Linked DNA regions of Saccharomyces cerevisiae S288C. The protein of the gene in region 2 binds, or shares a complex with, the protein of the main gene of each other region. Each region holds a gene or a part of one and is shown on either strand. Other genes may lie near its edges. The genes, in order: RFC4, CTF18 and RFC2. A codon is read from its position in the direction of its gene.

The links.
Region 1: the proteins of CTF18 (region 2) and RFC4 are in contact, whole or in part, in a cryo-EM structure (PDB 8TW8), measured with the Saccharomyces cerevisiae proteins. Residues at the interface, in NP_013795.1 of Saccharomyces cerevisiae: Asp394 (codon at 2,729), Ser395 (codon at 2,732), Lys416 (codon at 2,795), Phe419 (codon at 2,804), Leu428 (codon at 2,831), Trp462 (codon at 2,933), Phe465 (codon at 2,942), Leu468 (codon at 2,951), Met469 (codon at 2,954), His476 (codon at 2,975), Glu479 (codon at 2,984), Leu480 (codon at 2,987), Arg482 (codon at 2,993), Tyr483 (codon at 2,996), Leu486 (codon at 3,005), Gln493 (codon at 3,026); in NP_014547.1 of Saccharomyces cerevisiae: Asn148 (codon at 2,459), Glu152 (codon at 2,471), Gln155 (codon at 2,480), Ser156 (codon at 2,483), Val267 (codon at 2,816), Phe271 (codon at 2,828), Ala278 (codon at 2,849), Gln279 (codon at 2,852), Val280 (codon at 2,855), Lys281 (codon at 2,858), Glu282 (codon at 2,861), Ser283 (codon at 2,864), Arg285 (codon at 2,870), Leu286 (codon at 2,873), Ile289 (codon at 2,882), Lys290 (codon at 2,885), Ile292 (codon at 2,891), Gly293 (codon at 2,894), His296 (codon at 2,903), Met297 (codon at 2,906), Leu300 (codon at 2,915).
Region 3: CTF18 (region 2) and RFC2 share a complex: the UniProt entries of both Saccharomyces cerevisiae proteins name them as parts of the CTF18-RFC complex.

The regions. Positions count from the first base shown.
Region 1 is NC_001147.6:141,084-144,572, reverse strand, and holds RFC4 (replication factor C subunit 4), read left to right. Parts: upstream 1-2,017; coding exon 2,018-2,989; downstream 2,990-3,489. Other genes in the region: YPQ1 (cationic amino acid transporter), read right to left, coding at 1-369; TRM10 (tRNA (guanine(9)-N(1))-methyltransferase), read right to left, coding at 877-1,758; HMI1 (ATP-dependent 3'-5' DNA helicase), read left to right, coding at 3,226-3,489. UniProt on the Saccharomyces cerevisiae protein: Component of ATP-dependent clamp loader (RFC and RFC-like) complexes for DNA clamps, such as the POL30/PCNA homotrimer and the checkpoint clamp DDC1:MEC3:RAD17 complex.
Region 2 is NC_001145.3:422,003-426,277, reverse strand, and holds CTF18 (Ctf18p), read left to right. Parts: upstream 1-1,549; coding exon 1,550-3,775; downstream 3,776-4,275. Other genes in the region: phosphatidylinositol/phosphatidylcholine transfer protein SEC14, read right to left, coding at 219-1,124, 1,281-1,289; ESCRT-III subunit protein VPS20, read left to right, coding at 4,129-4,275. UniProt on the Saccharomyces cerevisiae protein: Essential for the fidelity of chromosome transmission. Required for the DNA replication block checkpoint.
Region 3 is NC_001142.9:565,853-569,287, forward strand, and holds RFC2 (replication factor C subunit 2), read left to right. Parts: upstream 1-1,790; coding exon 1,791-2,852; downstream 2,853-3,435. Other genes in the region: phosphatidylinositol kinase-related protein kinase TOR1, read left to right, coding at 1-976; YAE1 (Yae1p), read right to left, coding at 1,167-1,592; nucleoside triphosphate pyrophosphohydrolase HAM1, read right to left, coding at 2,954-3,435. UniProt on the Saccharomyces cerevisiae protein: Component of ATP-dependent clamp loader (RFC and RFC-like) complexes for DNA clamps, such as the POL30/PCNA homotrimer and the checkpoint clamp DDC1:MEC3:RAD17 complex.

The DNA.
Region 1 (3,489 bases), on a different chromosome or scaffold from region 2:
ATTGAACACATCGTGCAGAACGTTTTCGTTTATTGGATTGGCAGGGGAGAGATGAATAGGGTCTACTGCTGGTTTTTCCTCATTATCGTACCATAGACATTGACCTAGTAAAATGATATCTGCCACCGTATAGTAAGCAGCAAGAATGATCATGGTAGACAAAAGATGTTGCATAACGGCACCCATAAGGTTAAAGACATCGCCGGCCAACCAAAGTACCACGAACAATAAAGACAGCCCATCAGACGACTTCCGGTAAAAGTTCTCGTAAATTTGAGGGACAAACACAATGATCCAGCAGGAGATGGAGATGGACCCAGATATCCCACTTAGAGTGGATCTATTCAATTCTAGCGGCACAAGTTGCATAATTGAGGTCGTCGAGCGATGTGGTAGCTTTTTTTTTGTATGGCATTCTTTCGTTAGCAGTACATATCATCGCGAAGACGATTAAAGTACGTAGTGAATAAAAAGACGATATGTGAAAAATTGCAATCCGGGTAAAAATAAAAGAGTCATTAAGAGCAAAAATGACCATATTAGAGAATTTACAGGTAAAACACATACAACATCAAAGCAAAATAAGCAAAGAGAAATAAGAAGTATCCTCCCACGGCCCTACATTAGATTTGGACCTCTCGGACACTAAGATTGGTGTTGTTAATATTAAAAAGGGAATGCCATTTAGATTTCGAGTGGAGCCAGTTTCGGCGGCTAATGTCCAAGTACTATGATAAGCATAAACACCCTTTGAAGAACTACTACCAGTTGCGCATGTTTAACCCGTATCTCTGACATCAATATACACCTATTGTAGCTACGGAGACTATTACTATTTTGCTATTCAGTTACTAATAATACTACAGTGATGGCTGCCTATGTGTCCTTTGGAGCTGGCGAAGAGCTTGCGGATTTTGCTTCCGCATCCAGCTTTCTGGGTGGTAAAACGCTTTCAAAGGCATTTTTCCAGTTATGGTCATCAAAGTATTTCAGCATGAGTTGCACGACGTGCGTTGTCGTCAACACTCTTCTGCCTTCGAGATTGATGTACTCGTCAATGGGCAATCTTCGCGTAGGAATGCCCATCTTTTGGGCCTTCTTCAGACACAATTCTTTATAACGATTCTTGTCTACAATGCCGCCAACAATGTATCGCATCCCGGGTTCCAGCTTCTCCAGCTTTTCCTCTGTATCGGCCGTTAAATACACTATTTTGTCCTTACTTATATGCTCATCTCCAAACATGATTTTGTCGTCTGGTAGGAATTTAAAATGGTTCCAGTTTTCATAATTGGTATTTTTCAGAGTAGTTTCAAACCTTTGCTTTAGTCTTTTGTCGAATGGGGCCACCTTTATTTCTGCAAAATGGTTCGCCCTTCTATTCGCGGAGTATGCCCTGGTGACCTGGTTAGACAAGCTTACTATTTCCTTGTCGTTCATTAACTCATCAAAAGAACAGTCAAGTATGATCTCTATCCCAGAATCAGTCTGATTCACATTGATACGAGGCTCTCTAATCAATTCCTGCGGGACCTCTTCTCCCCTGTCAATGTATTCTTGAATCTTCGCACTTCTTTCATGGCGAAGTCTCTTCTTCTTTACACGGCGTTCCGCATTGTATTTGGCTTTATTCTCCTCCCATCTCTGTCTTTTACACATTTTTTTCCATTGCTTTTTAGACATGCCTTCTGGCACAGGCGGTAAAGGTGGTGTTCTTTTCACCTTTTCCTCGTTCTGGTTTATCTCATCATTGGACATGTTGTTTTGCCTGCAGATTGACACTTAATTATTTACCTTGAAAGCTTTACGCTATATTAAACATCACCATCTCTCTTAAAGACAATGAAAATTTTTCATTACCACATCACACTGTTAGATTAAACGCGTTTTTTCTTGACAAAAAGGTGGGAAAACCAACCACATATTTTAAATACTGTAAAATAGTAGCATTTATAAATCTGATTGGATCTATTATAACATTGCAGAGCTTCCCAGAAGATATAAAAAGTCCCTTATAATGTCCAAAACTTTATCTTTGCAACTTCCATGGGTTGAGAAATACCGTCCCCAAGTTTTATCTGATATAGTCGGTAATAAAGAGACCATTGATAGACTTCAGCAAATCGCTAAAGATGGTAACATGCCCCATATGATCATATCAGGTATGCCAGGTATAGGTAAGACCACTTCGGTACATTGCCTTGCTCACGAGCTCCTTGGCCGCTCTTATGCTGACGGTGTTTTAGAGTTGAACGCTTCAGATGACAGAGGTATTGATGTCGTCAGAAACCAAATAAAACATTTTGCCCAGAAGAAACTACATTTGCCTCCAGGGAAACATAAAATCGTTATTCTTGATGAGGCGGATTCCATGACTGCTGGTGCTCAGCAAGCGTTGAGAAGGACCATGGAGCTATATTCGAACTCTACAAGGTTTGCATTTGCTTGTAATCAATCAAACAAGATCATTGAGCCGCTGCAAAGTAGATGTGCGATTTTGAGGTATTCTAAACTATCCGATGAAGACGTTCTAAAACGTCTTTTACAAATCATAAAGCTAGAGGATGTTAAGTATACAAATGATGGGTTAGAAGCAATCATTTTTACAGCGGAGGGTGACATGAGACAGGCCATAAACAATCTACAAAGTACAGTAGCAGGACACGGTTTAGTGAACGCAGACAATGTCTTCAAAATTGTTGATTCTCCTCACCCTCTAATAGTGAAGAAAATGTTACTAGCCTCCAACCTAGAAGATTCAATTCAAATCTTAAGAACAGATCTTTGGAAAAAGGGTTATTCCTCGATTGATATCGTCACAACATCTTTCCGCGTTACCAAAAACTTAGCACAAGTGAAAGAATCAGTAAGATTGGAAATGATAAAAGAAATCGGTTTGACCCATATGAGAATTCTGGAGGGTGTTGGAACGTACTTGCAACTGGCTAGTATGTTAGCGAAAATTCATAAACTAAATAATAAAGCCTGATTTAAATATCCGAAAACTATAAAAAAAACTCCCATATTAGTGCATTACTTTAAATTCTACTTCTTTGTCTTGTCTCTTCCCTTGTGATGTGTCAGAATTTTTTTTTTTTTTTCATTTTTGCACAATTTAAGCTTTAAAGTTGTTTGTTGATCAAAACTTACAACTCGCAGTGCAGTTACATAGTCATAATATGTAGAAAAAATATAGAGAAGGTATACGTCGTTCGTTGAAGACAGATGGACAAGCTAACTCCATCTCAATGGAAGGTAATAAATAAGTCATATGAACCAGCGTCTACGATAAAAGTCATTGCGGGCCCAGGCTCAGGAAAAACGCTAACGCTACTATATAAAGTACTACATTTAATTACTGTGGAGAATATTAAGCCTGAAGAAATACTTATATTTTCGTTAACAAACAAAGCAGTTGATAGTATAATAGAAAATTTACTGTCCATTTTCGAAAACTCGCATACAAATAAGGAAATTGTCCATCAGATT
Region 2 (4,275 bases):
CAGATAATAAAATAATAAATAATCTAATAGCTGAGTGGAAGAAAAAAAAAAAATAAAAAAAGAGTAGTACAAACTAAGGAGATAAAAGTGTGAACTATGCCTATTCAAAAAAGTAGAATAGAGTAAATAAGCATACTTGTACTTATCTCAGTTGTAAAATATCGTTACTTAGAACTCCTCTTTTCTCTCTCGAAAAAAAAATGTCTTTAAAAATAATATCATTTCATCGAAAAGGCTTCCGGAGCTTCACCTTCCGGTCCAATATACTTTGGATCCCTCCATGGACCGATATCGGATAGGTATAACCCACCCTTGGATTCATCAACTTCAGACTTACCGCCAAATTTGACTGGTAAGTTTTCAGCTGGAATTTGCTTTAATAATTCCTTCTGGTAAGAAGAACCCAAGATAAAAATCTTTGAAACAGTGACTGGATCCAAGAAAGGTTTAAATAGCCTAAATGCGGTAGAGAAACCGAATGGCGCGTTGATGATGTAAAATTTACCCATACGTTCGGGGTAATAGTTTTGACTTATGTAGGAGGCTTCCCTAACATATGACATAACACTGTATGCACTAGATATGGAGATACCTTTCAAATCCATAATTGTACATGAAGTTTCCACTAGGTGACCAGCAGCTCTTGAACAGGCAGGTAATCTGTATTGAACGACAGATTCGTATTCCCAAACCAAGTTTTTCAACATCCTCTCTTCAGAGGTAACCTTGTTCATTTCATGTAAGTTAACAGCACCTAATTCTTCAAAATATACTGGGCGGCCATCTTTATCGGTTTTATGATAATATTGTGGGTAGAATTTGGCAATCAATGGTTTTTCATCATAATGAAAATCTTGCAAGATAGTGTCGGTACCATAATCCTTCCTCCATTTTTCGCAGTTTTCAAACATTTCTTTAGCCAATTGAACATCAAATTTTCTGGCTCTCAAAAAACGTAGTAAAGTTGAATCGTCTAAACGTTCAATGAAACCAGCGTCTTCCAAAAGTTTTCTTAGTTCTGCCAATGCCTTCTCTTGAGCGCTGTCTAAATTTCCTGGAGTACCAGGCAAGGCATCTGGAGGACAGTTTTGAGGGTAGGATTCTAAAAATTCCTTTTCTTGTTGCTATTTAAAGTGAAGTCATAGTAATACCACTTGTGTTTGTTAGTAAACTTATTGATATATCATTTTTGCTTCATATAGACAGAACTATCTGAAGAATGTGAATATTGTCACAATGAATGTCAAAAAAAGAAAAAGTAAATAAAAGCAACAACATACTGTAACCATTGTGTTTTAGGGCGATGAAGGTTTGGTTTGATGCTACAGGCGCTGGTCAAGCGATATACCAGGAAAGGACACTTAAGACACAAACAAAGGAAGATGTACCATTTTATTGTTGATCAACGTTGAAAAAAAAAATGTGGAAAAAACGAACTAGCCAGTCGCGTTGTACGGAACATCTAACACGTAAATAAACATGATTTCATATATTTTATTCCTAATGTGTACACTATTTGACCCAAAAGGTGGATGTAAGGTCAGGGATCATGGTTGATACCGCACCATACATTGGTTCACTAGGGAGAAGTTCCCTTTTTGATACTGGTGATATAGAACAAGCCCCTGGTAATAATGCAATTGGTATTAATGAGGAAGATATTCACGCGTTTGTATCAAGTACTGGCGAAACGGTTCAATTAAAGAAGAAGCCTGCGAAGTTAGCAACCGGGAATATTAGTCTATACACTAACCCAGATACTGTTTGGAGATCAGACGACACGTACGGCATCAATATAAACTATTTGTTAGACAAAATTGAGGCATCTGGCGATGACCGCACTAACGCACAAAAGACTTCACCTATAACTGGCAAGATAGGTAGCGACACACTCTGGGTAGAGAAATGGCGTCCTAAAAAATTTCTAGATTTGGTTGGTAATGAAAAGACAAACAGGAGAATGTTAGGTTGGTTGAGACAATGGACGCCGGCTGTGTTTAAAGAGCAATTACCCAAATTGCCAACCGAAAAAGAGGTCAGTGATATGGAACTCGATCCATTGAAAAGGCCACCAAAGAAAATTTTACTACTGCACGGGCCACCAGGAATAGGCAAAACCTCAGTAGCTCACGTTATTGCCAAACAATCAGGGTTTTCTGTCTCAGAAATCAATGCAAGTGATGAAAGGGCTGGACCTATGGTAAAAGAGAAAATATATAATCTTTTATTCAATCATACTTTCGATACAAATCCTGTGTGCTTAGTGGCGGATGAGATTGATGGAAGTATTGAGAGTGGATTTATTAGAATTTTAGTTGACATTATGCAAAGCGATATTAAAGCCACTAATAAACTATTATACGGTCAACCAGATAAAAAGGACAAAAAGCGCAAAAAGAAAAGGTCTAAATTGCTTACGCGACCTATTATTTGTATTTGCAATAATCTATATGCTCCTTCTTTGGAAAAGCTGAAACCATTCTGTGAAATTATTGCTGTGAAAAGACCTTCCGATACTACCCTACTAGAGCGATTGAACCTTATCTGCCATAAAGAAAACATGAATATTCCTATAAAAGCAATCAATGACTTAATTGATTTGGCTCAAGGTGACGTAAGGAATTGTATAAACAATTTACAATTCTTGGCCTCGAATGTTGATTCAAGAGATTCCTCTGCATCAGATAAACCTGCTTGTGCAAAAAATACGTGGGCGTCATCCAACAAGGACTCCCCCATATCATGGTTTAAAATCGTGAACCAATTGTTTAGAAAGGATCCACATCGTGATATAAAGGAGCAGTTTTATGAATTGCTAAACCAAGTAGAGCTTAATGGTAACTCTGACAGGATATTGCAAGGCTGTTTTAATATATTTCCCTACGTAAAATATTCCGACAATGGTATAAGAAAGCCAGCAAACATTTCAGATTGGCTATTTTTCCATGATTTAATGTACCAATCAATGTATGCGCATAATGGCGAATTGTTACGTTACTCCGCCCTTGTGCCCCTAGTCTTCTTCCAAACGTTTGGCGATATCGCAAACAAAGATGATATTAGAATGAAGAATAGTGAATACGAACAACGTGAATTAAAACGAGCCAATTCAGATATAGTTAGTCTGATTATGAGACATATCTCGGTTCAGTCCCCACTAATGGCAAGTTTTACGGATAGAAAATCGTTAATCTTTGAAATACTACCATATCTAGATTCGATGATCTCTTCCGATTTTAATAAAATAAGGAACCTGAAACTCAAACAAGCCATCATGGAGGAATTAGTTCAATTGCTGAAAAGCTTTCAACTGAATCTAATCCAAAATCGGTCAGAAGGATTTGATGTAAGGGGTGGCCTAACAATCGATCCCCCAATCGATGAAGTCGTATTGTTAAATCCTAAACATATTAACGAAGTCCAACATAAACGGGCTAATAATTTGAGTTCACTGTTAGCAAAGATTGAGGAAAACCGGGCCAAGAAAAGGCATATAGACCAAGTGACTGAGGATAGACTACAGTCACAGGAAATGCATAGCAAAAAAGTCAAAACTGGGTTAAATTCTTCCTCAAGTACAATCGACTTTTTCAAGAATCAGTACGGATTATTGAAGCAAACTCAGGAATTGGAAGAGACACAAAAAACTATTGGATCAGACGAAACCAACCAAGCAGATGACTGCAATCAAACGGTTAAAATATGGGTGAAATACAATGAGGGGTTCTCTAACGCTGTCAGGAAAAATGTGACTTGGAATAACCTGTGGGAATAAATGACGTAAGATATATACGCAGTCTCTCTTAAGAAGCATACTTGTATATGGACCAGCAGCTTACATAGAAATCTAAAAGAAGTAAATAAAGAACATTAGCAATCAATCCTGCCGGTAGTCGCAACAGCTCCGATTTTGTCACGCAGCGTTCGTTTTTTATTCGTGATCTTTTACCCTCTTCGCTATCGTTCTTATTTCTACATAAATGGAACCCCGAAGAGCAGAAAGACCGAAAATCGAATTACTATCTGTGGGATACAATATAGCGCATAGAAAAGAACAAAACATAGATAGTTTGGAAAAATAGTACAGACTGCTGAATTAACTCCACTTGGTGCTTTTGTATATATCGAATGGGCCAAAAAAGTAGTAAAGTGCATATAACCAAAACAGATAGGGCGATCCTAGAAGTAAAACGATCTAAAGATGAAATTCATAAGTTTACGAGGAGGACAGATAATTTGATTTTGGTAGAGAAGAGTCAACTAAAAGACCTAATA
Region 3 (3,435 bases), on a different chromosome or scaffold from region 2:
GAAGAATGATTCAGAGTGTTTCAAGAGACATTTGGATATCCAACAATACCCGGCTATTCCATTGTCGCCTAAATCTGGTTTACTAGGATGGGTACCAAATAGTGACACATTCCACGTTTTGATCAGAGAACACCGTGATGCCAAAAAAATTCCGTTGAACATTGAACATTGGGTTATGTTACAAATGGCCCCCGATTATGAGAATTTGACTCTTTTACAAAAAATTGAAGTATTCACGTACGCTTTAGATAATACAAAAGGCCAAGACCTTTATAAAATATTATGGTTAAAGAGTAGGTCGTCAGAGACATGGCTAGAACGTAGAACAACTTATACGAGATCTTTAGCAGTTATGTCCATGACTGGTTATATTCTGGGACTAGGTGATCGCCATCCAAGCAACCTGATGCTAGATAGAATCACCGGTAAAGTTATCCACATTGATTTCGGCGATTGTTTTGAAGCTGCCATCTTAAGAGAAAAGTATCCAGAAAAAGTGCCATTTAGACTAACTAGGATGTTAACATACGCAATGGAAGTTAGTGGAATTGAAGGCAGTTTCCGAATTACTTGTGAAAATGTCATGAGAGTCTTAAGAGATAATAAAGAATCATTAATGGCGATCTTGGAAGCTTTTGCGCTTGATCCTTTGATCCATTGGGGATTTGATTTACCGCCACAAAAACTTACTGAGCAAACTGGAATTCCTTTGCCGTTGATTAATCCTAGTGAATTATTAAGGAAGGGGGCAATTACTGTCGAAGAAGCGGCAAATATGGAAGCAGAACAACAAAATGAGACCAAAAACGCCAGAGCAATGCTTGTTTTGAGACGTATTACAGATAAATTAACGGGCAATGATATCAAGAGGTTCAATGAATTAGACGTCCCTGAGCAGGTTGATAAACTGATCCAACAAGCCACTTCTATTGAAAGGTTATGTCAACATTATATTGGATGGTGCCCATTCTGGTGACTGCGGTGTCATTTTTCATTTCGTGCTTTGTTTACTATTTATTTTTTTTGTATTACGCATTTGTATACGTGTGCAAGTATTGTGTATTATTATTATTATTATCATTATTTTTGTAATATCTCGTCATTATGTGAAATGAAGGATGATATAAGGTACATAAATTGTGAAATCAACTCCATTTAAAACAACTTTATTGGATAGATGGCACATGGTACTTTTCACAATAGGTATTGGCAATATCAGTCCATTTTGTTATGAGCGGATGTTTTTCTTGCAAGTCAAAGTTTGGATCAAATATGGACTTACTAAGTACTTTGTTAATGCGTAATTCTTTTTGAGCATCAATATATGCCTTACTGAGGTCCTCATCTTCATCACCAAAACGTGTTCGTAGGCCAAGTAAAATCCCCATAATTATGCCAACTTGTTTCCCTAATTTAGCGCCCGTTGGGAAACCATCATTGAAACCCTCTTGCAGCTTTTCTTCTTTAGAACTCACTATTCCGTCCAAGTACCCCCTCTTGCTATGATTCTCTCTTAACTTCACTAAATCTGGAGATCGTTCAGTTTCGACATCACTGTCTGATGCCCATACATCGTCCCAAGTATTCGACATCTCTATATACTATTGTAACACTGTTCCTTTTTTGTTCTCTTCTATCAAAAACCTTTCTCATCGTTATTTTTCACTCTTTTACTTCGCGTATTTCAAAGCAATCAGGAAGTAACTCAAGCGAACAAGTCAATGCTATAAGAGAAGTAAAATAGAGAGACAGCGAGAAATACTGGGGGAAAGTATTGGCAATCACTTGAGATGTTTGAAGGGTTTGGTCCAAATAAAAAGCGTAAGATATCAAAGTTAGCCGCAGAGCAATCATTGGCACAACAACCCTGGGTTGAGAAATACAGGCCCAAAAACCTAGATGAAGTGACAGCTCAAGATCATGCCGTTACTGTTTTGAAGAAAACCTTAAAGTCAGCTAATCTACCACATATGTTGTTTTATGGTCCCCCAGGAACTGGTAAAACGTCTACCATTTTAGCGCTAACAAAAGAATTATATGGACCCGACTTGATGAAATCAAGAATATTGGAGTTGAACGCTTCTGACGAACGTGGTATCTCTATTGTAAGAGAAAAGGTAAAAAATTTTGCAAGATTGACTGTATCCAAGCCTAGCAAACATGACTTGGAGAACTATCCGTGCCCACCGTATAAGATCATTATTCTCGATGAGGCCGATTCAATGACTGCCGATGCACAGAGTGCATTACGTAGAACAATGGAAACCTATTCAGGAGTAACAAGATTCTGTTTGATTTGTAATTATGTGACAAGAATTATTGACCCGCTAGCGTCCCGTTGTTCCAAATTTAGATTCAAAGCCCTAGACGCAAGTAATGCCATTGACCGTTTGAGGTTTATCAGCGAACAAGAAAATGTTAAATGTGATGATGGAGTTTTGGAAAGGATCTTGGACATTTCGGCAGGTGACTTGAGAAGAGGCATTACATTATTACAATCCGCTTCCAAGGGGGCGCAATACTTGGGTGATGGTAAAAACATAACTTCTACCCAAGTGGAAGAATTAGCTGGTGTGGTACCTCATGACATTCTAATAGAAATTGTTGAAAAAGTCAAAAGTGGTGATTTTGATGAGATTAAGAAATACGTCAATACGTTTATGAAAAGCGGTTGGTCTGCTGCGTCAGTAGTTAACCAACTACATGAATATTACATCACCAACGATAACTTTGATACGAACTTCAAAAATCAAATATCTTGGTTGCTGTTTACTACGGATTCCAGATTAAACAACGGAACGAACGAGCACATCCAATTATTAAACTTATTGGTTAAAATATCCCAACTCTAATATACAGGCATCTTTATATAATTGAATATAGAGGCGACATAAAGTAAGAATAAAAAAAAAAAAATCTATCCATAATTCCTCTTATCTTCTCAGCACATCACCTAAAAGTCATTTTGATACAAGTACTCTTTAAACTGAGCGAAGGCTTTACCACGATGAGAAATAGCATTCTTTGCGTCTTTGCTCATCTCTGCGTAAGTCAGTCCATGACTATCAAAAGGTTCAAAAATTGAATCCCAGCCGAATGTAGTGGGTCCCCGGCTTGGAACGATCTTGCCTCTTGTAATACCTTGAAAGAAGTGATATTCACCCCGAGAATCAGCAAAACAAATGGTGGTAACTGCTTCAGCGTTTTTATTTTCAAAGGGTTCCAACATTTTCACAATTTTTTCCAATCCCATGCTCTTTAAAAACCATTTTATATAAGCACCTGGTAGACCGTTAAATTCGTCAAATCTCAACGCAGTGTCTTCCACAAACACTGGCTTACCCTTACCCAAGGCCGCAACAGCTTGCTTTCCCTTAGCTAACGCAATGGCATTCAGATCCGTGTCCTGCAATTCTTCCAGGTCTAAGGCCTCAT